Callithrix jacchus: one gene and its partners. The protein of the gene in region 7 interacts with the protein of the main gene of each other region in a pairwise test. Links are inferred from orthologs where the notes say so. Each region holds a gene or a part of one and is shown on either strand. Other genes may lie near its edges. The genes, in order: HOXB5, TRIM29, TBC1D22B, LGALS8, COX5B, NEK6 and TRIM23.

Region 1 (4,274 bases), on a different chromosome or scaffold from region 7:
CCAGCCTTGGCCCTCTGCTCCCTGCCTGTGGCTCTGGAGACTGAAAAATGGGGCCACTGGGTATCTCTCGCCCTGCAGCTGAAGGCTCCAGGTGCCCCTTCCCACCTCAAGTAGGAGATCAGCCATGAGTAGGGGAATGTAAAGCCACCAGCCAGGCACAGGCTGAGGGGCACGGCTTTCCCTTGCTCCTTGGAGACCCCAGGGCAGGAAGCCAGGTGATGGGGCATTTAGTGTCATCCTTTCAATCCAGAATGGCCCATTCTCTCTCCGCTCCCACGGGCACCCAGAGGGCAAGCTGTGGACACTGTTTTCCTTTATTCCTCCGCCCTCTCGCTCCCTTTTTAAAGAAAATCGTCGCCTCGTAATAGGGGCCCAGCTGCGGCGGTCTCTGGCCGCCCAGCGTGCTCAACAAACCGTGCGGGTCCTTGGAACCCCTTTTTCGGGAAGGCGGCTGCCACCAGGCAAATTCTCAAACTGCCCAGCTGCGAATGAGGGGCCTGGAGTGGGGCCTCCGAATGCAATAGCCGAGGAGGAGGGAAAGGGTCCTGCTTTACAAACTCTCAGACACATGTTACTACTCAAACCCAAGCCACCGACACGGTGGCCGCTGCAGTCTTTTCGGCAACTAGGCCGCTTAGCCTCAGCTGTGCTGGGTTTCTGGGGTCCCTGTCCTGCTCTGCCACTCCCCAGGCCTGGGCTAAGGACCACCAAGGAGGTCAGGAAGGGGATTTCAAACTTCCAAGTGGCCCAGGAGAAGTGAACGCTTCCCCTGCTGCTTTTTCAAGCCACCCGTCCAGCCCCACGCTCGGTCTGGGAGCTGTGGACAGCAATAGCAGTCCCTCCAGGATGCAGGTCGGGCTGAGCTCCGGGGGAGAAACTGTTGCAATAATTGTTTTTCACACACAACTTCCAACCCTTCCCCCATTTCCGCCCCCAATTCAGAGACTTGCAAAGCCCAAGAAAGGGAAAAGCAACTTAATCTTTGATCTTCTCATCCAAAGTTAAAATAATAACGACGATGATGTAGGGAAAAGGACCCAAGTAGAGAGGCTAACCCCACCCACAAGAAAGTGGGTAAAAAGCTTAACGCCTGCTCTAAAACGCTCAACCCTGTGGCTGAGCCTTGGCCGGGTTTCTTTCTCTCCCCGCGGCTGCAGGGAGCCAACAGGGAGGCAGCCGCCGCCGCCATGGCGGTCTCCCTCCCGAGCTCCCGTCGATCGCCGGGAGGTGGCGCGCTCTGCTCAGAGGCCAACGCCAATCTGCTCCCCGTTTCTCCCCCTTCTCCTTTTTTCCCCCTCTCTCGGAGGCTCGCATTGAATCGGCCCTAACGATTCTCGGATCGTCATTATTTGTAACCATAGAGCATGAATTACCTCTTGAGGTCATCAGCGAGAATTTACGACTGGTCAACAAAAGCACGTGATTCCCTAACGCCCCCCCACCCCCCTTCCAACCCCCCCCCATATTTGGCCGCATACATAGCAAAACGAAGTACAGTGCATCGCTATAATTCATTAATACATCATAAATCGTGAAGCACAGGGTTATAACGACCACGATCCACAAATCAAGCCCTCCAAAATCACCCAAATGAGCTCGTACTTTGTAAACTCCTTCTCGGGGCGTTATCCAAATGGCCCGGACTATCAGTTGCTAAATTATGGCAGTGGCAGCTCTCTGAGCGGCTCTTACAGGGATCCCGCTGCCATGCACACCGGGTCTTACGGCTACAATTACAATGGGATGGACCTCAGCGTCAACCGCTCCTCGGCCTCCTCCAGCCACTTTGGGGCGGTGGGCGAGAGCTCGCGCGCCTTCCCGGCGTCCGCCCAGGAGCCCCGCTTCAGGCAAGCGGCTTCGAGCTGCTCCCTGTCCTCGCCCGAGTCCCTGCCCTGCACTAACGGCGACAGCCACGGAGCCAAGCCCTCTGCTTCGTCCCCCTCCGACCAGGCGACCTCGGCCAGCTCCAGCGCCAATTTCACCGAAATAGACGAGGCCAGCGCGTCCTCGGAGCCTGAGGAAGCGGCGAGCCAGCTAAGCAGCCCCAGCTTAGCTCGGGCGCAGCCAGAGCCCATGGCCACCTCCACAGCCGCGCCCGAGGGGCAGACTCCGCAGATATTCCCCTGGATGAGGAAGCTTCACATCAGCCACGGTAATTCTCTCTCTTTTTTGTCTTCTCAGCTTTCCTTCTCTGCGTTTTGGGGTGGGATGTGGGGACAAGGAGAACCTGGCTTTCCCCCAAATATAGATTTATTTTTCCAAGGGGGAGAAGTCTCTGAGAGGGGCCTCATAGCTTTGTAGACAGAGCCAAACAGGGTCTCTCTGTGGTGGGGGGTATTTTTAATAATTTGTTGCCAGCTTCGGCTTAGGTTTTTATTAGCTCAGCTATACCAGCATTAGGATAAAGGATGGGGTTCATATAATGTGGGGAAGAGTCCTGCTTACCCCTGAAATTTTGAGACTACCGCTAGCAAAGAAAGGGTGAGCTTTCTGGGGCAAAAGTGCAACCGCTCTCCTCCCTCCGGGGCGAGCGGCCGCCTGAGCCCAGCCAAGGGTGAGGCACTAGGAGTCAGCAAGAGACAAAGCCGGGCGCATTGGCTGCCGGCAGAAGTGGGGGATGCGGGAGAAGGGGGTGCAGAAATCGAGCTTGAATGTGGGCATCTGGAGTAGAGAGGATTGGAGCTGCGGTGAGCTGGGTGCCGGGACGCCTGGGTCCTGCTCCCCCGCCCCCTCCCACCCAGTGCCCCCTCCCTTAACCGGAATAACATTGCCTTGCGGCTTTCCTCTATCTGCTCTAGATATGACTGGGCCGGACGGGAAAAGGGCCCGGACCGCGTATACCCGCTACCAGACCCTGGAGCTGGAAAAGGAGTTCCACTTCAACCGCTACCTGACCCGGCGACGGCGCATCGAGATCGCCCATGCACTCTGCTTGTCGGAGCGCCAGATCAAGATCTGGTTCCAGAACCGGCGCATGAAGTGGAAGAAGGACAACAAACTGAAAAGTATGAGCCTGGCTACAGCCGGCAGCGCCTTCCAGCCCTGAGCCCGCCCAGAGGAGCCCAGCGGCCCAAGAGCCCGTGCCACCCCCAGCCCTGGCCCCTTCAATCCTCCCCGCACTGCCGCAGCCCGCTGGGGACCGGTTCCCACAAGCCTGCCTCGCCCCAGCCTTGTGTTAAGATATTTCGATATTTCCTTTGGTCTTAGGTCTTCCTGTGGCTCCCTCTCTCCTGGACTGGTTATCTTGTTATTATTGTTAATAATAATTATAATTATTATTTTCCCTCCATGCTCCCAACTCCCTTCCGCTTGCCCCAAATCCACCAGTGTTTCTGAATGTTTGTGTCTGTGGTTGCAGTCCTTCCCCCAGGGAAAAAAAAAAAGAAATTCGCATGTTTAATGTGAACTCTCCCCTCCCCATCTGTGTTCTAACTTATTTATAAAAAGATGATCACTGTATTTTGAGTTTCAGCTGGAAACTTCTCTAAGGGGCAGCAGTTGAGTTGGGGTAGTACCGCAGTGGGGCCAAGCTGAGCTGGCCTCTGAGATGGAGTCTCTTTTCATTCTCCTTTCCCTCCTTCCCCACTCCCCAGGCCCAAGTCTCCTAGGGGCTTGGTTCTAGGGTGGGAAGAGGCTGGGGAGGACCAAAGGGGTGATACTGAGAAGAGAGAAAGAAGATAGTGAGATTTAAGTTCCTGCTGCCTGGGTAGGCCCCACAAGGCCTGGTCTGGGAGTATACGGAAACAAAAACGATCTTCAGTGTAATATGTCTTGTGTATTTCTCTGTGAATCCATAGGTCTGGCTAGAGGGCCCAAAGCTTGTAAATATGGGGATAGTCTGGGTCAGACCCATCTGTTCCTTACCCATTTCTCTTCCAAGACCATTTGTAGTGAGCGAGCGGATGCTGTGCTACGTGTGAAATCTGTCTTTGCGGGGCCTGTCTCGGTGATTCGCTTTTGGTATATGTTTGTAGCTTTCCTTGAAGTCAAATAAATGTTTCCCCCACTCCATTGCCCTTCCACTTGTCTTTTCTCCGAGGGGTTTACCTCTCCCATCCCGGGCACATCCTGGACCATTCTTAGTAGATCTCGGATGCAGGGTGGAAAAAGTAGGCTCTCCCTAACAGCTCTTCTCAGTCCTGTAAGTCCCTGGCTTGGTCAACAGTGCTTGGGCCAGGGAACAGACCTTCATGCTTGGGGGGACTTCAAGGCCCAGAAACCCCATGTGGGGCTGGGGCAGGGGAAAGGCTGAGCTAGAGTCCATCCTGGTCTTC
Region 2 (3,500 bases), on a different chromosome or scaffold from region 7:
GCTAAAGGGACTGGATCCTGAGTCTGGGAGCTTTGAGGTTAGCGGGATTGACAGTGGCTGTGATTCCTTCCCGGGAGGGGTGAGTTTCCAGCAACCTGTGCTCAGTAGAGGGGACATGACTGTGATGGGCAGAGGGCATCAGGGACCACCGGCACAAAGGCTTACAGGCGGGACGGGCGGGGCTGGAACTGGGGGTGTGGTGTCTTCTGAAGGTCAGGTGGGGAGGGACAGAGGTAACAGAGGACTGGAATACACAGGGGAGCTCACTGATTTCAGTTGTACAGTGGGGGTGTCAGTCACCACTGCTTCCTCACGAGGCTGTTGTGAGAGCCCAGGTGTGTGGGAAGGAAAACACTTGTGAAGTGAGGCTCTGATCTCCCGGGAAGCAGTGCCTGTGTAGGCCCCTGGGAGGTGTTCTTGGTGCATCAGGCCAACTCCAGGAGGCTCCATCCTCATGGGGCTGAGAGCCTGCCACCTCTGCCCCAGCGGTGGCCATGGGCTCTCCAGGTGTATGCTGATGCTCTCTGCATGGCTAACAGAGCCCTTCTACTCTCAAAAGCATGCTGATTTGGGTGATAAATTAGTTGATTACCTTATGTCAGACCCAAAGGACCTCTCTCAGTGGTGGAATCCAGGTCTTGTGGTGGGCACTTGAGCAACTTTTGGGGGCAAGGAGTGCTGCATGACACCCTTTTCTACAATGACAGCTCCCTTCATCTGCTTCGCAGGTGGGGCCCGGACATCTTACCAGCCCTCGTCTCCCGGCCGCTTCACCAAGGAGACCACCCAGAAGAATTTCAACAATCTCTATGGCACCAAAGGTAGGTGGTGGCTCAGCTTGAGGCTGCACAGGGTTCACATGGGGCTGTGCAGGCAGGAGGGGCATAGAAGTGGGGCCATGGGGCATGGGGCTGGGTCCACAATGTGAGCTGGGATGGGTGGGGGGCCCAGACATGGGTAGGGAGAGGTCCTACCTATGGAGTTTGAATTGTGTGTGGATACATTCGTGGGATACACCATTACTTAGGCTGGTGTCCCTGAAGTGCCTGTGCTCTTTTGATCCCTGAGGAAGAATCTGGGGAAAACTGAGGCTGAGTAGCCACCTTGGGCATAAGTGTGGGGACCCCCCACCCCGCTCACAGCAAGTATCAGGGCACGAGGACCCACAGAAAATCTCTACTGATTTGTGTACTTCTGCAGTGAAAAGTTGTACAGTGGCTAAAACAAGTTAGTTTGGCTGTGACTAGAAAAGAAGGCATGGCAGGAAATGGGGCTGGCCCTGGAGCTCCAGGCAGGGAGGTGATCAAGCAGCACCTCAAGACCCAGGAGAGGTGAAATGGGGGTGGGGACGTGCCTGTCCCAGGGGAAACTGCTCAGTTCAGGGTCTCCCTCTGCCCAGTGCTCTGAGGGGACCATTTGCCCAAGAGCAGGGCCATGCACTCAATGAGACGTGGTTCTGAGAGGCCCTGGTTCTGTCCTGGGGGCTCCTGGTTACATGCCAGCCATGCATGGGGAGGGAGAGGACCAGGTCAGCCCCAGGCCCGGACATAGCACTGGAGGATTCTTCAGTGAGGACAAGACCTGTGGAGACAGGAGGGTCAGGGGCACCTGGAGGACAGAGCAATGCCTGGGCCTCTATGACCAGGACTGGATTCACAGCCAGGACCAGGGGTACCTCCTCTTCCACATATGCAGTAGACCGTGAGCACCTTGAGGACAAAGCTTATTTGTCCTAATCAATGCTACAGCCCCAGGACTCAAAAGTAGGAAGAGGTCAGGCCAGGAAGCAGCTGTTGAGAGAGATGAAAGGCACCAGTGAACAGAAGGACAAGGTGTCTGGCCTCGCGGAGCCCTGGGTGGGCATGCTCATGGAGGCCTTGCTACAGAGGCTGCCTGTGATCCCTGTGGGGGGGCTTTGCACTGGGGCCAGTGGCCAGCCCCAGCCATCTCTGAGCCCTGAGGCCAAAAGTCAACCCCAGCCCTCCCCACAGACAGCTGACGGGTGAGCTTGACTAAGGAGGCCACTGATGCTTCAGGCCTGGTGGGTGGGGGTGTGGTGCTGGAGAAGGGTGCGTCACCCACAGGGGCTCTGAGCCCCCACTCCGATGCCCTCTGAGTGCCCTGGCTGCTCCTCCCACCCCCTCCTCACTGCCTTCTTTGGACTACGGGACATGCCTGCACATAGGCATGTGTTAGTCTACTCAACTTGGCAATTATCAGCTGCCTCTGTCCCCAAATTTTAGGTGTTTGTATTTATTTGTTCATTGGTTCATGCATTCTATCCATCAACCATACAATGAGCACCTTCTGGGAACCAGGCTCTGTGCCAGGCTCCGGGTGTGATGCAGGGGCCAGACAGGCACATTCCCGGTTTGTGTGAGCTCTCTGCGGGAGGCAAACAATTGAACAAGCAATGGCAACCCAGAGGGTAGCGGGCGCAGCACGATGTGGGGAGGGGGCTGAGGCACATGGAGACACTGGGAAGGTGCCATGTAAACTGACACTTGAAGACCCCACACATGAATCACCGAGGGTGGGGAACAGCAGGAGGGTCCTAGGCAGAGGACAGGGTATGGGCACACAGCCTGGGGCAGGAGAGAAACTGGAGTGTCTCAGACAATAATGCTCAGCCTGGTTGGAATGCTCTGTGGTGGAGGGAGAGCAGACATGAAGCCAAGAAGTGGGAGATGGTGGGTGGGTGGCAGGGGTTGTGGGGAGCAGCTCATGACAGAGTTGTGGGCTGCGCTTGGGACTTTGCATCTTATTCTGAGGACAGTGGCCTTTAGGTAGGGCAGGGAACTGTCTATGTTTTATATTTTAGAAAGGTAACTTTGGGGCAGAAGGACAGGGGTGAGGCATCACTGGGATCACAGAGTGGCATCTTGGCTTAAGTCGTGGCCAGCAGCTGGAGAGTCACTGACCTGGCTGTGTCCTGGTCGTGCCTCCTCTCCCATGCCCAGTTGTGGGGGCCTGACAGCCCTTTGCCTTGCCAGGTAACTACACTTCCCGGGTCTGGGAGTACTCCTCCAGCATTCAGAGCTCTGACAATGACCTGCCTGTCGTCCAAGGCAGCTCCTCCTTCTCTCTGAAAGGTAAGCTTGCCCAACCTGGCCCCCTGCTTTCCCTCGCAGCTGACCGCACCTCCCAAGCTCTGCTTTGGTCTCTTCCCTGAGCCACTAGTTCCTCCCTCACCTTCTGGAGGAGAGAGCTCTGGCCCAAGAGCCTGGGGAGCTGCCACCATGGTCTTTGCTGGAACCGAAGGCAGGGTGGGGGCTGGGCCACATCAGTGCTTCCCAGGGCTTGTTTTACTGCACACTAGTCTCTAACGACAGGCTGCAACAGCGGCTCTCAGTGGTCAGGACAGGGGGACACACCACACCCCCTGCACCCCGACCTCTCTGATCCTAAGTGTGCTGCTTCTGCTGCAGAGTTTATTGAATTCCCAGCGTTGGTTGGCTATAGGGTCCTGTGGGCCTGGAGCACCCGCCAGCATCCCGCAG
Region 3 (3,500 bases), on a different chromosome or scaffold from region 7:
ATGGAGTCTCACTCAGCCGCCCAGGCTGGAATGCAGTGGCGCGATCTCGGCTCACTGCAACCACGGTCTCCCGGGTTCAGGCGATTCTCCTGTCTCAGCCTACCGAGTAGCTGGGATTACAGGCACCCACCATCATGCCCGACTATTTTTTGTATTTTAGTAGAGATGGGGTTTCATCATGTTGTCCAGGTTGGTCTTGAACTCCTGACCTCAGGTGATCTGCCCGCCTCAGCCTCCCAAAGTGCTGGGATTACAGGCATGAGCCGCCACGCCCAGCCAGTTGTTAATTTTATTTTTAAAGAAACGGGAATCAAAGTTGTAAAAGAGCTCAATTTATCTTCAGAAAGGCGTGACTAACACAGAAAAAAATCTAGTTATACCTACCTGCCCATGTGGAACATATTTCCATGATAGCAGTAGCATATTGAACAGTGAGACCTCTCAGTAGAAACCACTTAAGTCAAATGGCAATAGGCTTCACAGCCTAAGGGGTTTTTCTTACTGCTCTGAAGTCTGTTTCAATCTGGGCTGGGCATGTATGCAGCAGGTGCGATCCAAGTAGATACCTTTCTTTTAGAATCTTACTTATCAACAGTTTCTAAGAACTAAAAGAGCTCAGAAAGCTGCAAAAATGTCCTAAAACAGGGAACCAGAGAAGGACTTCTTTATGAAGTCATGACATATAAGAAGTGGGGAAGGGCCAGGGGTAGTGGCTCATGCTTGTAATCCCAGCACTTTGGAAGGCTGAGGTGGGCGGATCACTTGACGTCAGGAGTTTGAGACCAGCCTGGCTAACATGGTGAAACCCTGTCTCCACTAAAAATATAAGAATTAGCTGAGCATGGTGGCACATGCCTGTAATCCTGGCTACTCGGGAAGCTGAGGCAGGAGAATCACTTGAACCCAGGAGGTGGAGACTGCAGTGAGCCAAGATCGTACCACTGCACTCTAGCCTGGGCAACTGAGCGAGACTCCATCTCAAATTAAAAAAAAAAAAAAGAAGTGGGGATGGACCAAAAGGAGTTGCCCTTTAGTAACCGAAGCTGGAAGTTCTTACTTCTGTCACCTAAGACATTGATCTGGTCCATTTCAACTCGGAGATTTCCCAATGCTCAGTCTAACTATGCAAAAGACTGTGGCGGCGGCGGCGGCGGCAGCAGCAGCAGCAGCAGAGGCTACTTCAGCTCTTGAGGCTTGTTGTAGATAGCTGCCCACCTTCCACTTTCTGCAACGCCTGGCCTACTCTTCTCCTCCCTCCACATGTGATGCTGGGAGCAAACCTTTCCACAGACCATGAGGACTGCTATGGGCAATGACGGAAGACTCCCTGACAAGACTACTGACAGCTACAGCTCCTACAGACAGTCATAGGTGCCGAACCAGTACTGAAGCTGCCGAAAGAATACTGATGTCATAGTCCAGAGGAACTGGACCGCTACTAAGTGAGCTTTTCTTTTCTCTCCATGCTCAATAAATCTTACTACTCACAGTGTGGTTGGTGGACCAGCAGCAGCAGCATCACCAGGGAGCATGTTAGAACTGCAGGCTTTACCCAAGACCCACTGACTCAGAATCTGCATTTTCTCATAATCTCTAGATGAGATCTTATTAAGATCCTGGGTGATTTGTATGTTCATTAAAGTTTGAGAAGCACTGCCACTGACTAGTGCCAAAAAAGTCTATTTAAAATGGCTAAAATCAGAGCTGCTGAATGAAAAGAGGAGAAAAGGTTTTGAGGATAAATTTAACTCCTAACCAGTATACCACAGCCTGAAGACTTGGAAATCCTGTGCCCTGAGAGCGCTACCACGAGACATACCTAAAGAGTAAGACTGGTAAGCGAAAAGGCAGCTGGGGATGACTGTACCTGTCTGTAGGTATCCTGGTGATGTTCCTCATTTCGAGAGTCATAATACTGTTCAATGAAGCCAAAATATTCCTCCCGCTTCCGCTGCAGGGTCAACTTCCTCCTCTCAGTGTTTGCGGGGAGATAGCCCTATAGACAAGACTGCTGGTCAGATGGGGAGAGACAATGGTTGGATAAATCCTTATTTTAGTCTATGCAGTGGTATGGTTTGGAAACTATCAAGAAGGAAAACTGCCAAGGGTAAATCCCTTTTTGGTTCTGGCCACCCAGTGTTTGCCCTCTCTTCATTCAATGAGATCCACATGTGAGCAGATGAAGCAAGGCCAGCTTTCCCGGGATTACTGACTCCCTTGGCCCTGCACTGTGCTGGAGCTTGTGCCACTGATGAGCACTCCTCAGCTCCCAGAGCTGGCACAATACAGGAGTGAATGTAGGTCAGTGGGAGGGAGCTGGCCTCAAGTCATGGCCTCAGAGGGCTGCGTGTGTGCAGGGCTGTACTTCTGAGAACTGCAGGGATATAGCAACCTCTACAGCACATCTCAGCAGTGTGCCAAGTTAAGCTGGTGCCAGTTACATTCTTTTCCAGTGTAACTTTCAGAATTACCAGCTTAGGAAGCAGCTGAATGGAATCTGTGACATAACAGCTACAACGCCCAGACAGAACTTCTGGCAGCATCCCCCCCGCCTAGCCAAAATTCCAGGCCAACTTTCATTCTTATCCCTGGTCTAGATCCCACTCTCATTCTTATGTTTTCTGTTTCCCTTCCGTTCTCACCAAATCTACTCTGAATAGCATTCAAACTTATTAGAAGTGGCGGAGGCAATGATTACATGGTTGCAAGAGTAGGGGTGGGGCGAGCAGTCAGGAGACAGACCCTTCTTCTTGAAAACTTGTAATGCATTCTGCAGTGAGTGCCTGGAGAGCAGGGACCGTGGTTTTGTATCTGCTCAAAGCACCTGGCATTATGCCTGGCAAACAGCAGGCCCTCAGTAAATCTTCCCTAGATGAATGAATGAATTTTACAGGCTCAGGAAACCCAAGTGTTCCTATCATAGCGGCTGGCACAGTGCTCTCTCTGTACTTGGTGAAAACAGGACTAGTAAGGCTTCCAAGAGAGGCCCATTTATCAGCTCTTCACAGTTCAAAGTGGGTTTCAACACTTTGGTTAATCTGACTGAAACAGGAGCGAAGCACAGGAAATGTTGGAGCTTGCTCAAAGCAAGTGCTGTGATCACCCTATCTCACTCTATTTTTGTTCCTCACTGTTAAGAACGTGGGACCATGACTATTGGTTCAAGTCTGTGTGCCTCTACATGTGTGTGAATAAACTCTCAAGAATGTGTTTCTTTATGCACAGAAATAGGACTATAGTCCCATAGTGCTGTCATATCCAAGGACCAGAGCAGTCTATGGAGTAAGACCAATGTGTCCAGACTAACTTCGTCAGGCAAGAAGGGCCGTATGAGGCTCACATTTCCCTACACAGCGGGCAGAACTCACCGATAGGAGTCTCCAGGTTACAGGTCGAACCTCCCTGGGAACCCCTGGCCAGCTACACTTCCTCAGTTCATCTGTAAACAGAAAACTGCCTTGTTAGGTTAACGCTCCACAAATGCCCTAAAGCAAACCGCA
Region 4 (3,500 bases), on a different chromosome or scaffold from region 7:
ACTTTTTTCCCTCCCCACTTCCAAACCTTTGAAATTGCCTGTCACAAAATCTGACCTGTAAAGATCCCATATACATGAAACTTCTGCCAACTCCCCTCAAATAATAGAAAAATTACAGAAATGCAACAATTTAACTTGATACAGGTTTGACTTTAATCACTTAACACAGAAGAGTGCTTTGATCTCAGGTGCTAATGGTGGACTCATCTTTAGAAGAATGGAGGCCCTGAGTGGTGATCTGCATGGGAGCAAAACTGATTTCTGTATTACCTCTGCCTGCTTTGTGGGTCTCCTAGTTGGTGTACACTTTCGATAGTGCCTGCCTTGTCTAATCCTGAAGTCTAATCCTGACCTTACTTTACTACCCATGAATATCTTTCAAATTCAATGCATCTTGCCTCTTCCTTAAACTTTCTGTAGGAGTCTGTGTAGACTCTGACTCACCCTAAGTTCAGACACACAGAAATCAGCTGCCTTGGGCTTGACATCAGTGGTTAATTTCAGCACCTTTTTTTTGTTTAGTTTTACTTTGGTTTTTTTTTTTTTTTTTTTTTTTTGCCTTAATTTCTGTGCCGTGTTCAGATGTCATGTTATTATTTGGTAAAGCTTGCAGCTAATAGAGCTCTATGTTTATTATGCTAAAGAAAATGAACTGTCAGTCAACATCAGTCCTCTCAGTTATGGGATATGCTGGAGCACTGGTTATGAGCGATCACTGGGGAAGGGGTAGCGTCTTCTATAAATTAGTGTCTTCAGGTGATTTAACAGCTGCATCTCTAATCCCAGAGGGCCCCTTGGGAGTTGATGCAATGCCTGTAGAAGCAGTGCACAGCGGTAAAGCACAGAAGAGTCGAAGCCCAAGACAACAGGGAACACACTGGTTTGTTTCACCACCAATTGTATATCCCATCTCCTTGCGCAGTTTTAACCAATAAATCTGTGCTCAATACATGTTAGCTACTGTATCATGGTAGGTACTCCATAAATACCTGGTGAATGTGATTCTTAGAGTCAAAGTAGGAGAGAGGGCAGAGTGGCTTTAACTGGCTGTAAATGCTACTGCCCCCAATCTCCCCATTCGGTGCAAGACACTGCCATACTTCATAGCAAGGACTGAGAACACCCAGCAGGACCTAACGGTACACAAGCTCATTTTAACAATATAAACAATAGAGTGACAGTGAGATGCGTTTCGACAAGGCCAGTATCACAGAAGCCATTCTGTACTTCGGTTTCTGTAGCATTCTGTGTTTCGCGTAGGTAGGCTACCAGCTCCTTACTTCCAGCAAGTGGATGTCTCCATTAATCTCCAGCGTGTCAATACTGCTAAGCTCTTTAAATCTGTGTTTGTACTCCAGGCTGTGTACACCATTTACTGCAACCTTGAATTCTTTAACATCACAATAAATTATCATCTGAAAGGAAAGGAAACAAGCCATTACTGGTTCCCCTTAGTTTAAAAATGTTTGCTGCACACTAATAGGGTGTCAGAGTAAACGATGTGATTTGCTTTATATATAGAAAAGTTCTAGCCTGCTGCTGCTGACTTCCCTTCTCTGACTCCCAAGACCCTAATCTCACTAAAGTATCCCTGGTGGTGGCACTGTCTGCCTCATCCCACCCAGGGAAGTTACTCGGACATGTTTGGAGCCTCACACGTCCCCAGGGCCTGTGGCCCTCCTTTCCTCAGGACAGGCCCCGCTTCTGGGCCAGGATATCCTGCCCCTCGCTCCTGGAAAGGTGGAGTGCTACCCCTCCTCACTGATGCTGGGGACTCTCCTAAAGTGGGAAAACTTACACTGTCACTCTAGTTCACTAAGATGCTGATTCCAGCTAGTAGACTGGAACCAAGGGACTTGGATCCTGACTTTTCTGCCTCAAACTCTAGGACCATGAACAAACCAGACAATTAATATGAAATTTCAGCAGCTTAAGGCACTTGCTGCTACGGTTTTTACAGCTGCTTGGTGACCCTGATTCCATCCCAGCTCAGCACATCTTGGCCTCAGTGTGTTTCTCCAAAGTCCTCAAAGCCGGGTACCCTGAGTCAGCAGGGATGCACATCCTGGCAGAGTCCGTTCAAATTCATCACTAGTCTTTGCCCTTGACAGTCGTCTGTGCCCCAAACTCAAACAATGAAAACCCAGAAAACCTACTAGCCTTTTACATCATCTTTATACCTAAACCTCATACTTCTGGTACACGCTGCCAGTGCCAGGCTGGGTTTCCACCCACACTGAGGACGACACTGGGAGGTCCTGCACGGAGCTCTCCCTGTGCTCCTCGCCCCCATGAAGGCTTCAGAAGAGGGGAAGCTCAACCTTGCTGCCAACCTGGCCCCACTCCAGAGGCCAGACTGGAGCATAAAACCTGAATCTGCAAAGCAGCAAGTTGAGGTCTTCATTCTTTTGATAGGAGCAGTGAAAAGGGCTGTCGAGGAAAAGAGGAAGAGGAGGAAATTTCAGCTGAGTCCTGCACTCTGATAACAGAGCTGGCCAAAATGAAACTTCTATGGCTACAGAGGACTGGGGAAGTATGTGTAACCCGAGATTCTATCCCCACAAGAATGGTGGGGATCCCAGTTCTAACCAGGTAGAAGGGACTTGGAAATATTTCACAAAATCTCAGGAAAACACAAAACACACAGCCTCATGCTGTAGCTCAGAAGGAAAACCAAGTTGGCAGCAGAGGGAGTCGAAGCCTGGACTATATCAGAGCAAGTGCAGAGCCAATGACTTACAACCAAGTGGCAAGGAAATGACATGCCTCTGGGTGAGCGGACTACTGCAAATGAAAAGAAAGCACATCATTTGCAAGACCCCCAGCCTAGAGGAAAACAGAAAACAATCCCTCACAACTATCTGATGCTGTCGAACAGCTGGGGAGAACATGGAGTTCATCCAGAAGAAGAGCCCACAGATGAAATGACAACAACGAATGAGATTTTTTAAAACAACACTGTAGATACAACTAAAGTATGTTTGAACAGCAAGAAGATTTAAATGAAAGTAATGGCATAATGGGAAGACCTGAGATAGTCTCAGTGCAAGCATGTTGGAAAAGCAAGAGATGGAAGCCCCTGGAAAGGACCTGTCAGTATAGAACATCGTCAACAGTGATCAACATGAGGATAATGACCGTTGGTGAAGTAGAAAATTAACAAACGGAAGAGACATTGTTCGGAAGCATACAATATCCATCGATTCATTCCTTCAGCCAGCCGTCCTTTTCACTGTGTCTCTACAAAAGAATATCTGGAATGTGCTTCATCGAATCCTAATGGAATGATTTGAATTACGAAGTTGGAGATATTTTCATCTTAGTTTTTTTCAGCATGACTTGAATGTATCATTATTGTCCTTTTTTATATTAATTGGTAGATCCAAACTTGGGTCCCAGATACGTCGAAAACAAGCTGCATCGTTAGTTTCCTGTCACCAACCACAGGGCTCAACTTCTTTCTGGAACACTCCCCTCTATTTCCCTCCAGTGAACCCCAA
Region 5 (3,997 bases), on a different chromosome or scaffold from region 7:
CACCTAAAAGGGAAAAAAGGTGGTTGAGTCATTCTGTCTAGAAAGGGAGACTTTCAACATGAATTTCTTTTCCTCAGACACCTCTGATACACAAGACAGACTATGGTCAAGATAGTGACCAATAATGGTCAGTTCAAGCCCTCCTCCCATTATTCAGATGAAGAAATTGAGGCTCTGAGTCCACCTATAAGTAAAATGACCTAATATCAGGGTCACTGTAAATTCTTTTGTTTTTTTTCATCTCGCCCCGTCACCCAGGCTAGAGTGCAGTGGTGCCATCTCTGCTCACTGCAACCTCCACCTCCCAGGTTCAAGCGATTCTCCTACCTCAGCCTCCCAAGTAGCTGGGATTACAGGTGTGCACCACCATGCCCAGCTAATTTTTTGTATTTTTGGTAGAGACAGGGTTTCACCATGTTATCCAGGACGGTCTGGATCTCCTGACCTCGTGATCTGCTCGCCTCACCCTCCCAAAGTGCTGGTACTACAGGTGTGAGCCACAGCACCCAGCCAAGGCTCACTGTAAATTCTAACAATTCCCCTGCCCATGTAGAACACAAAGGAGGTCCATTCTGGTATGTATCCCTACTGTCTAAAACGATGCCTGGCATAGAAGCAATATAACAATAAATATTTGCTGGGTGGATACTCCTTCATGCCACACCTCCACTGAGCCAGTCTTTCCACCGTGCTGCGCTTCTTTCCAGGAAGGATGAACTATCAGGCATAATGAGGCTTGAACAAGACCCATAGGGAAACTCATTTACAAACATGTATTCACACACTATAAGATTTAAAGCAGCTTGGCCAGGCCCGGTGGCTCACACCTGTAATCCCAGCACTTTGGGAGGCCGAGGCGGGTGGATCACGAGGTCAAGAAATCGAGACCATCCTGGTCAACATGGTGAAACCCCATCTCTACTAAAAATACAAAAAATTAGCTGGGCATGGTGGTGCGTGCCTGTAATCCCAGCTACTCAGAGGCTGAGGCAGGAGAATTGCCTGAACCCAGGAGGCGGAGGTTGTGGTGAGCCGAGATCGCGCCATTGCACTCCAGCCTGGGTAACAACAGCGAAACTCCGTCTCAAAAAAAAAAAAAAGATTTAAAGCAGCTTATAGACTCCTGTACTATAGGATATATATTAAGTGGATAAAGAAATAGAGGTGAGGTACTTACAGATACAGCCCACTATTCTCTTGTTGGTGACAGAAGGAACTAAATTAGGGTCTTCCTTAGTGCCTGAAGCTCCCTTTGGGGGCAGTATATTGTATGGGTCCTGAAAAAAACACAAGAATTGAACCATTATGCCAAATAAGCCCTACGTTCCAGAAGCTCAGCGTGTTCCTATAAGCCAAGTTCCCTGGATCAAATACTCCCAGAGAGGAGACTACTATGAACACATACAAGAACGTAAGTTCCACGGAAGACACAGAAAGGAGTTTCTCACCAGTCCCTTTCTTGCAGCCAACATGATCTCCCTCTCCAACCCAGTCGCCTGGTCATCATCACTAGGAACACCACCTACAGGAAGATATGTGAATTATGATGCTGACTGAAATGATAGAAAAATTAGGAACAGAAATGATCAAGAAGAAAAATGCCACACTGAAACTTCTGCATACGTTTTAGTGGGCTCACAAGCTCCTAAAAGCTACTCATATCCATGGTCCCCAAAGAACCACCAAATCATGATCCACACAAGGGGCAGCACTTGGGGGAGCTGCTGCTTTTTTTTTTTTTTCCTCGTTGCCCAGGCTGGAGTGTAATGGCAAGTTGTCGGCTCACTGGAACCTCTGCCTCCTGGGTTTAAGCGATTCTCCCGCCTCCTGTGTAGCCGGGATTACAGGAGCACGCCACCACGACCAGCTAATTTTTTTTTTTTTTTAAGGAGTTTCATTCTTGTTGCCCAGGCTGGGGTGCAGTGCTATGATCTCGGCTCACTGCAACCTCCGCCTCCCGGGTTCAAGCAATTATCCTGCCTCAGCCTCTCCAGTACCTGGGATTACAGGTGCCCTCCACCACGCCTGGCTAATTTTCGTAATTTTGATAGAAACGGGGTTTCCTATCGTCCTGGCCTGGCTGGCCTCGATCTCCCAACCGCAGATGATGATCCGCCCGCCTCGGCCTCCCAACGTGCCGGGATTACAGGCGTGAGCCACCACGCCCAGCCCAATTTTTGTATTTTTAATAGAGACGGGGTTTCACCGTGTTGGCCAGGCTTGTCTCGAACTCCTGATCTCAGGTGATCCGCCCACCTCGGCCTCCCAAGGTGCTGGGATTACAGTCGTGAGCGCCCGGCGTAGGAGCTTTTCCTTCTCCAACCACCGAGACCAATTTGTCGACATTTGTCTAAAAGCAAGTTAGAGCCCACTCGGCTTGAGGCGGGCGCAGGTTTGAAGGGCGGCCGGACCCCTCCCCAACCCGGTCGCAGTCCCCACCCCTCCCAAGGTCACCCGGCACCTCCGTTTAGGATACTTTCGCAGAGGAGTCAGTTCGGGGGGGCGGCAGGAGCAGCGGCCTGGAATTATAGGAAGATGCCTGCAGAGCCTGAGACACTCCGGACCGTATGCGGTCACTGGGACCTCTAGTAGCTGCACGTCACGCCCCGCTCTGCCGCCCTGGGACCACTACGGGAGGGCAATACTCCGGTCCCTGGCAAGCCTGGGGAGCCGAGTACCTCCAGAGGCCATGGAGCGCACCGCGGCCGCACCATTGGGACCGCGAGCCCTCAAGGCCTGCGCGGCCAGCGCTCCGGCTCCGCGAAGTAACCTTGAAGCCATCGCGTCCGCGACAAGCAACAGCACTTCCGGGAACAGGATGCAAAGACAGGAGAGACTTCCGGGGGCGGGCTTCTTTCTCCTCCCGGTCAGCTTTCCGCTCCTTCCCCGCCCTCGGGCCCGCCCACTCCCGCCACCTTGGCGGGGGCGGAAACTGCGCATGCTCAAGTGTGCCTTTCCCTGCACCGCACAGTAGCTGAGGCTTGGGGGCGGGTTTGCTCTTTAGTAAGGCTGAGAGGTGAGCAAGTTGTTTTGGTGTTTGGAGCTCAGCGGCTAAACCACATTGGAGTTCCTCTGTATCTGGCCTGCACTTGGAGGCTACTGATGGAAGTCATTAAGTCCCCGCCTGTCAAGAGACTGACTGGACCCCAAATGATTTGAATTTGAAAGTGGGCTCCTAAAGATCTCTGCGTTCCTTGCTAGGCTAGTTAGTGGCAACGCTGGTTCTCTGGCAGTGCGTGAGCCGTCGCGAGCGTGTTGCATTGGACGGGACCTACCTGCAGTACTGGCCCAGTTTCCTGTTAGAGTTGTACTGTGGGGGGTTAGGCGCCGGGGTCCCTGCGGGGTCCCGGCCTAGGGAGGAGGACAGGACGGCGGCAGGACCCCGCCCAGGACCAAGAGCCTGCTGATGTGAAGAGAGAAAGTGGCCACTCTTCGAGGCCACTAGGGGAGGAGAAGTTAAAAAGGGGAGTTGATAATGGGAAATGGAGTCAGATCCTGCTGTGACTGGAATTCCGTTTGAAACGGAAAACATCTTCCGTCCATAGCTTTCCGTTGCCCCCACAGGCTAAGATGTGCAAATTTCTTAGGGTGAGCTTTAGTCTGTGTAGCCCTATGACAGGCTAGCTGCATGCGGTATCTGAGTTTCCCTACCAGATAGAAAAATCGCTTTAGAGTGGAATTAGCTCATTACTGAATTTTCAATGCCTTGCAGAGGTCTGGTATATAGTAGGATCCAGTAATTTTAGTAAATTTACTACTTGGATAGACTATATAAAACCAGTTTATAGGGCTTCTCCTGGCCCAGTGAGGTCAATTGGAAGCAAACTGGGTAGAGTTGAAGGCTCAGATGCTCCCACTTGTCTCATGCAGGCTATGATATTTTCAAAAGGACACGGTGGAGCATTGCCTCCCAGGAGCACGTCTGGTCTTCATGGGTGCCCCCTCCACCAATTAAAAAAAAAACAAACACCTGTATTCTGATACAAAAACCACCTTT
Region 6 (3,500 bases), on a different chromosome or scaffold from region 7:
GACTACCCGCCCCTCCCCGGGGAGCACTACTCCGAGAAGGTGAGTTTGCAGGAGCCGGAGGCTTCGTCAGCTCTGGCAGCCAAGGCTCATGAGGGCCACTCCAAAGCATCGCAGCTGAGGTCAGGCTTACTTTACATGGTACAGAAAGGGCACTTTCTGGAAAAGTGATTTGGAGAGGTGAAAGTAGGTGATTACACTGAAGAAGGGGTTTCACCACGCGGCTCCGGTGTAGGACCCCCAGGCGGGAGCCAGTGGGATGTGGCCCTTGGCAAACCTCCACCTGTTTGGCTCCCAGCTTGGTGCACCAGGAGGCCCGCTGCTGCAGGTCCCCAGGATGGACTCTGTGCAGTGCCAGACATGGAACAGATGCGGGGGCAGGATGTAGCTAGCAGGCCTGGCGTCCCCATACTGCCGATGGTTGCCACTGCTCCCATGGCAGGAAACCACGGCAGGGAGACTGGTCAGTTTCCTCCTTATAGTAACAGACTTAAGCCACACCCTGGGCTTCTACTGTCAACATTTTACACTGGCTGCAGGGGCCATGGACACAGACTCTGATGGGTTTGGTGTGGGCTGTGCCAGTTACTAGGAATGTGCAAATATTTTCTTCCTCGGCTCCAACACCTTGAAGATAGAACTAAACATTTTTGGTGAATAATCGTGAGGAAGATAGGTTTCTTGGCACAGTAGGGTCAAAAGTATAGACATGCCTTCACATACTGCCTGCACTGTTCCTAGGTGAGTCACCTAACCTTCCTGAGTCTGTTTCTTCATCTATACAATGGGGATAATAATAAACCTTCCACACAGGATCAGCGTAAGGATTAGGGTAAGGCACCAAGCTAACACTGCCACCACCATCAAAAGTGGCCAGTGGACAGGGCCTGGCTCAGTCAGTGCTCACTAAATGTCATGTGACCCTTATTTCTGTTCAAGGTCAGTGCTAGTGGGTGGGTCTGGGGCCTCCCTGGGCCCACCCCATAGGACCACAGGCCATCACCTCATGATAATAGCTCATGTTCAGACTTCCTGAGTTGAATCTTCCCCTGACCCGTTGACCAATAAGGAAACAGACACAGGCGATTTAAAGACAGTGAGGCAGGATCGGAACCCAGACGCCCAGCCAGAGCCCTCCTGCTACTTGGTGGCATGTCCCTTTGGTGCCCCATTAACTAGCTGGGGTGAGGCTCTGGAAGGAACACCCTTGCCCTGGCCAAGCTACACAGGACAGGTCCCACATGCTCTGCCCATGTCCAGGCAGGAGGCTCCTCGCGGGGAACCTGCGCTCAATGGCGTCGTGGACTCCAGGGCTAGAGCACGAGTGCTCTGGGGCACTGCACACGGCCCTTCCTCTCCTAGCTTCACAGTTTCAACCTGTACCTTTGGAAGAAGTATTGATGCTCCCCAGTGGGAGGAAAAACAAGTTGCATCTCTTTACAAAGTGAAGAGTTGCCATTTGCTTTTTCCTTTCTCATCTTCTGAATTTGGACTTGTGTACAATTCAGAAGCTTGAAGCCGTGCAACTGAAGCAGATGACAGCCCTGTGCTTTGGTTGTCAATCTATAAACAGGAACTGTCCTCTCTGCTTCAGTAATGAGGCTGAAATGAACACTGAAACCCCCCGTTCCAAGTCAGCCATTTCCTGGCCACGAGCCCCCGCTCCCCACAGCACCAGTTCTCACCAGGCCTGTGCAGCATTTCTGGGCCCCATGCTTGGGGTTGAGAGGTGGTACTCAGGAGCCCCTGGACACACCCTAGTTTTAGTTACATTGCTGCTTAGAAATGAAAATAACATATGTTATCATTTCTCTTGAATTCTGAAAACTTCAAACATGGACTTACTGCCAGCTGTGTGTCTACTTCATCAGTTAGTGCAGGTCACAGACTCTTCACCTGAATCTGGTTTTTCTGGGATTTTAATCTGTCAGAGGCCAACCACAGGTACCTTCCCCCGAATAGTGTAAGGTTCAGAAAACAGCCGTCTGGTCCATAGGCCACCTCAGACTCCAGGGGCAGCCCAGCAGGCTGCAGGCCCCGCTGTCACCTGGGCTTCTCCGCTATAAGGCATGCATACAGGTTGGAGCGGCTGACCTAAGGCTCTGCAGCCCAGAGAAAATGCCCCATCACCTCAGGAGCCTGTCTACAGGAAGCCCAGGCCCCACCCCTCAGCCTAAGGACCCTGGCCGGCACTAGCCCCTGGGCCTCCAGAATGTCCCTTGGCCCCTCCCCTGAGTGTGACCTCTGAGACCACCAGAGCCTCCTCTGGTTCAGGACCTCCTGGCTTCCTGCTGCCGCCATGGCTTGTGGGACTGGCCACCCCTCCAGCAGCAGGTATTTAAATGAAAACCAATGATGGTGAGCCCGTGATGCAAGTTAAGAAGATGTAGGCATTTTAAGGTCATTATTTTAATTACCATTAAAATAATTGGCACTCTGGCTATCATAAGAACTGAGCCGATCAGAGGCACTTGTGCCCCTCCCCCACCTCGGGGCAGGAGCAGCCTTCAGTGTCTGTATAATTAAAAGCTCCATCTTTCATGAGCACAATAAAGGGGCCGAGATTGGGCAGGCTGCAGCCCTGCTGCATGTTAATGCATTTATTATGATCAATAAGCCCTTTCCTTGAGTTTTGTCCTCTGGTTTGGGCATCTGCGTGACTGACAGTACACACACACACACACACACACACACACACACACTTTCCCAGCAGAGAGAAAGACACACCCACAATTTGCCCAGTGGTCTTAGGGTCTCAAAGTGCACTAGGCCCAGGAGGGGTCCTGGCTAGCCCTTGGGAGCCACGCGGCCGCACGCCCCTTGCCTGCCCCCACTAAACACTGTTCTTCAGCTCTGCGGGGACAACGGGACTGTCTAGTTGCTCTGAGGCTCAAGTACCTTCATGCAGATAGATTGCGGAGCATGGAGCCTCAGTAAGGCTGCTTTCTTGAGAATAACCCACCGTTCTCTCCCCTGCAGTTACGAGAACTAGTCAGCATGTGCATCTACCCTGACCCCGACCAGAGGCCTGACATCGGGTACGTGCACCAGGTGGCCAAGCAGATGCACGTCTGGATGTCCAGCACCTGAGCGTGGATGCACCGTGCCTTACCACTTTGCCTTACCTGAGTCGTCTTCTCTTCAAGTGGCCACCTGGTAGCCTAGAACAGCTAAGCCCACAGGGTTCAGCAGGTTCCCCAAAAGGCTGCGCAGCCTTACAGCAGATGCTGAAGGCAGAGCAGCTGAGGGAGGCGCACTGGCCACACATCACTGATGGTCAAATTCCAAAGTCCTTTCTTTATTCTGTTGCGGACAATCCCAGCTGGGTTAACAAGGGCAGTGGCTCAGTGAGCCACGGCAGCCCTGTATCTGGATTGTACTGTGAATCTTTCCGGTAATTCCTCCAGTGACCTGTCAAGGTCGATGCTAACAGGAGACTTACTTGCAGGAGACCGTGTGATTTGTATAGTGAGCCTTTGAAAATGGTTAGTACCAAGTTCAGT
Region 7 (3,500 bases):
AGAGTAAACTCACAGAACTTATATTTGTAAAAATAATTGTTCAAATGTTAGTAAATACTATTATTTCCAAATCTGGTACCTGAAAATAACTTACTTTGAAATATATTAAGAAAGTTTTAAAAGTATATAGAAAACCACAAAAAAAAAATCCACAAACCCTTCAAACTTATTTTAACAGAAAATAAAGAGTAACGATCACAAGCTACAAACACTTCCGTCTTTGATATTAGTAAATAAAAACATTCTGAGACTCTAATGACTTACCTGTATTTTCATTATTGGCTTATTTATTTTTAAAGAAAATATTGTTTTATTGGGTTAATGGTTTCAGGCAAATGATTCACCCTGTGATGCATATTCTTATTTCATTGAATCAGGATAGCAGGTTTTTCTTAGGTGACTTAAAGCTCTTTACATGTAAGTATTGAATATAAACATCTCAGAAGATAAAATTACTAAGAGTGAGATAGTTTATAGCTTGAAGATTATTAATCTTAACAGAAACTCAGGCTTTCTAAAACTTCCTGGGAATTTTATCATTTTAAAAACCAAGTGAAAGGAAATTGTTTTCTATGACATTTGCATTACATGAACAATTTTCAATCTTAAATCCACACAAATAATTTTCCTACCTAGGTCTGTTACTTGTCGATCAAATGGGCAACGGATTGCTCTTCCATGAAGAGGTAGGCGAGTGAGACAGTCATGACAGACTGTATGGCCACAAAGCAAAAGTCGAGGAACTTTGTCTCCTTGCAAAGAAAAGACGTCTTCACAAACTCCACACTCTAGCACCTAATATTTGAAAAGAAAGGATGCGCTCTTCAAACAATTTTAAAAGCATACATTTTTAAGTATGTAAGAAAACTGACCTAATATATTGAATCAACATTGTTACTTTATTCCTCCATGAAAAAAACTATGTAGGTTGTAAAATCTTAAATCATTTTTAAGTCATTCAATCTGACAGACCCTGCCAAAATTATAATGAAATATCTTTGAAATACTGTTAGAGGCAAAGATGCTGTAAGTTAACATTTTCATTATCTTTTGAAAATTATGATTGACTCATTACATCTGAATCTGTACAAATATATAATTCTACTGAAAGCGGGTTCTTAAGCAATTTCTCTGCAACTACCTAACCTATGAATAATCTCAACAAAATAAACTATCATTAATTTCAACAAAATAATCTAAAAAATGTACAGAGATAATAATTACTCTTGTAAATGATAAAGAACTTATTAAGACTACAAGTAACTTTCAAGTATCTTCTAGTATCTAATTACATCAAACAATATAAAGGCAAAGAAGCAGTCACCTTAAACTTAAATTTCAATTCCTGTTCTCTATCAATAAATATAGCTCTGAATTAGAAACTAGTTTATCTAGTTCTAGTTATAGGCAAATGACTTGCACAAGGCTACACAGTCAGTCAAAAGAAAGGCTATTTATCAGCATATTCTGATTCTCAAGTCCATAAGTTTATGTTTTATAGTCAACACTGTATTTATACCAATAAAGCATTTTCAGCACTTATTTCTAAGTATATTTGTAGTGTTTCCATTTTTGTTAATTTTTTTAAAATGCCTACACTGTACTATTCAATCATACCTCAAACTCTTGTGTCTGCCATTCAAGACCTGCTACAAACTGGTTCTTGTCCTACTGCTTCACTGCCACACTCTTCTGACCCTGTGCTCCAACTATATCCAACAGCTTGTAGTTCTCAGAACATGAAAAACCGTTTCATGTCTCTTCATGCTAACGCTGAGGAAAGGACTACACTTGTCCCTTGGGCCCAACTCTGTGTAAGTGTCTACCATAACATCCTAAGCACTTTAATACCTTTACCAGTTTTTCAGCCTGTTTTTCCCTGTTAGACCAAAGAACCCTCAGAAATAGGATATTTCAAATACCAAGTACCTACTGCTTACATAAAGTCCAGCAAAATAATTTAAAAGCAATTAAGCCCAAGGAAGAAATCAGACTAAATCTACTACGATTTTAAACCTAACTCTGCAATTAACTTGGACTTAGTGCATGAGATGCAAATATCTTTCACCATAAATAAAGTGATAATTCAGAATTGCCTTTCATCTTATTATGCTTCAAAAGAAATTTAAATTTAGTCCTTCAATGTAAATAAGGCTTTGGGAAAAGAAAAATAAATAAAAATAAGAAACATTAACATTGTTCACAGAAAAGAAGATGAAAATTCTTTACATGAAAAGATGTTCAATCTAACTAATAAGAAAAATGCAAATTAAGGCTGGGTACATTGGCTCACACCTGTAATCCCAACACTTTGGGAGGCCAAGGATCAGGAGTTTGAGACCTGCCTGGCCAAGTTCAAGATCAGCCTGGCCAACAAGGTGAAACCCCGTCTCTACTAAAAATACAAAAAAATTAGCTGGGCATGGTGGTGAGGTGCCTGTAATCCCAGTTTACTCAGAAGACTGAGGCAGGCTAATCATTTGAACCTGGGAGGCAGAGGTTGCAGTGAGCCAAGATGGTGCCACTGCACTCCAGCCTGGGTGACAGTGTGACTCAGTCTCAAAGAAAATAAAGAAAAGAAATGCGAACTAAAGTTACATCAAAATACTTTTTTTCAGATTAGATAAAAAATGTTGGTAACACTTGGTTGTGAAGGTGTGGGAAAGGAGACACTCATACATTACTGATTACTGTGAAATGTTCATTGAGCAATATTGCTTCTATGGAGGGCAACTTGTCAATACTTACCAAAAATTTAAATAATTCCGTAATTCCAGTTGCAGGAATTTATCCTACAAGCATATTAGACATGTGTGACAAAATCTGTCTGTTATTCCTTAAAACACCATTTGCATTAGCAAAAAATTGAAAACAAAGTTAATATACATCAATTATCAGCTTGGAAAATGAATTATGGTACTTAATAATACTAAAAAACTACATAGGCTAGTAAGAAAAAGTTTTTCATGTATACACAAAATGATTTCCTATGACTAAAACAAAAAGAAAAATGATAAATAGAATATATTCATTTTTGCATAAAAACAGGGAGAGAGCAAATTTCTTTTATATTGTTGTATAAGCATACTATCTTCCTGGAAGGATATATAGGATACCAGTAACACTGGAACATTGGTTCCCCATGAGAAAGTGACACAGCTGGAGAACAGCTACTCGTGTATAATTCTATCATTATATAGAGAGAGACATACTTCAGTTTATCCTCCATTTTTTTAAAAGGGAAAAGTTTCACATTATCAAATTCATTTAGACCTGGCACTGTAGCTCACACCTGTAATCACAGCACTTGGGACACCAAGACAGGAGGACTGCTTGAGGCCAGGAGTTCAAGACTAGCCTGGGCAACACAGTGAGACAATGTCTCTATAAAAAAATCAAAAACTGAGGTGGGAGGATCACTTGAACCCAGGCGATCAAGGTTGCTATGAGCCATGATCCTGTCACTGCACTCCCACCTGGGTGACAAAGTGAGAACCTGC

The links.
Region 1: the proteins of TRIM23 (region 7) and HOXB5 interact in binary tests that used the Homo sapiens proteins (3 or more experiments, as listed by UniProt). The two-hybrid records come from large-scale screens. The link is inferred for Callithrix jacchus from reciprocal best matches to the Homo sapiens genes TRIM23 and HOXB5.
Region 2: the proteins of TRIM23 (region 7) and TRIM29 interact in binary tests that used the Homo sapiens proteins (3 or more experiments, as listed by UniProt). The link is inferred for Callithrix jacchus from reciprocal best matches to the Homo sapiens genes TRIM23 and TRIM29.
Region 3: the proteins of TRIM23 (region 7) and TBC1D22B interact in binary tests that used the Homo sapiens proteins (3 or more experiments, as listed by UniProt). The link is inferred for Callithrix jacchus from reciprocal best matches to the Homo sapiens genes TRIM23 and TBC1D22B.
Region 4: the proteins of TRIM23 (region 7) and LGALS8 interact in binary tests that used the Homo sapiens proteins (3 or more experiments, as listed by UniProt). The link is inferred for Callithrix jacchus from reciprocal best matches to the Homo sapiens genes TRIM23 and LGALS8.
Region 5: the proteins of TRIM23 (region 7) and COX5B interact in binary tests that used the Homo sapiens proteins (3 or more experiments, as listed by UniProt). The two-hybrid records come from large-scale screens. The link is inferred for Callithrix jacchus from reciprocal best matches to the Homo sapiens genes TRIM23 and COX5B.
Region 6: the proteins of TRIM23 (region 7) and NEK6 interact in binary tests that used the Homo sapiens proteins (3 or more experiments, as listed by UniProt). The link is inferred for Callithrix jacchus from reciprocal best matches to the Homo sapiens genes TRIM23 and NEK6.

What each region holds. Positions count from the first base shown.
Region 1 is NC_133506.1:117,682,744-117,687,017, forward strand, and holds HOXB5 (homeobox protein Hox-B5), read left to right. Parts: upstream 1-1,474; 5' UTR 1,475-1,590; coding exon 1,591-2,152; intron 2,153-2,798; coding exon 2,799-3,046; 3' UTR 3,047-4,011; downstream 4,012-4,274. UniProt on the Homo sapiens protein: Sequence-specific transcription factor which is part of a developmental regulatory system that provides cells with specific positional identities on the anterior-posterior axis.
Region 2 is NC_133511.1:19,766,595-19,770,094, reverse strand, and holds part of TRIM29 (tripartite motif-containing protein 29), read left to right. Parts: intron 1-728; coding exon 729-821; intron 822-2,993; coding exon 2,994-3,092; intron 3,093-3,500.
Region 3 is NC_133505.1:45,628,680-45,632,179, reverse strand, and holds part of TBC1D22B (TBC1 domain family member 22B), read right to left. Parts: intron 3,440-3,500; coding exon 3,369-3,439; intron 1,997-3,368; coding exon 1,868-1,996; intron 1-1,867. UniProt on the Homo sapiens protein: May act as a GTPase-activating protein for Rab family protein(s).
Region 4 is NC_133520.1:48,839,528-48,843,027, forward strand, and holds part of LGALS8 (galectin-8), read right to left. Parts: intron 1,416-3,500; coding exon 1,266-1,415; 3' UTR 1-1,265.
Region 5 is NC_133515.1:6,951,296-6,955,292, reverse strand, and holds the start of COX5B (cytochrome c oxidase subunit 5B, mitochondrial), read right to left. Parts: upstream 2,801-3,997; 5' UTR 2,782-2,800; coding exon 2,679-2,781; intron 1,523-2,678; coding exon 1,449-1,522; intron 1,278-1,448; coding exon 1,178-1,277; intron 4-1,177; coding exon 1-3. UniProt on the Homo sapiens protein: Component of the cytochrome c oxidase, the last enzyme in the mitochondrial electron transport chain which drives oxidative phosphorylation.
Region 6 is NC_133502.1:172,970,049-172,973,548, forward strand, and holds part of NEK6 (serine/threonine-protein kinase Nek6), read left to right. Parts: coding exon 1-39; intron 40-2,976; coding exon 2,977-3,087; 3' UTR 3,088-3,500. UniProt on the Homo sapiens protein: Protein kinase which plays an important role in mitotic cell cycle progression. Required for chromosome segregation at metaphase-anaphase transition, robust mitotic spindle formation and cytokinesis.
Region 7 is NC_133503.1:143,875,339-143,878,838, reverse strand, and holds part of TRIM23 (E3 ubiquitin-protein ligase TRIM23), read right to left. Parts: intron 796-3,500; coding exon 633-795; intron 1-632.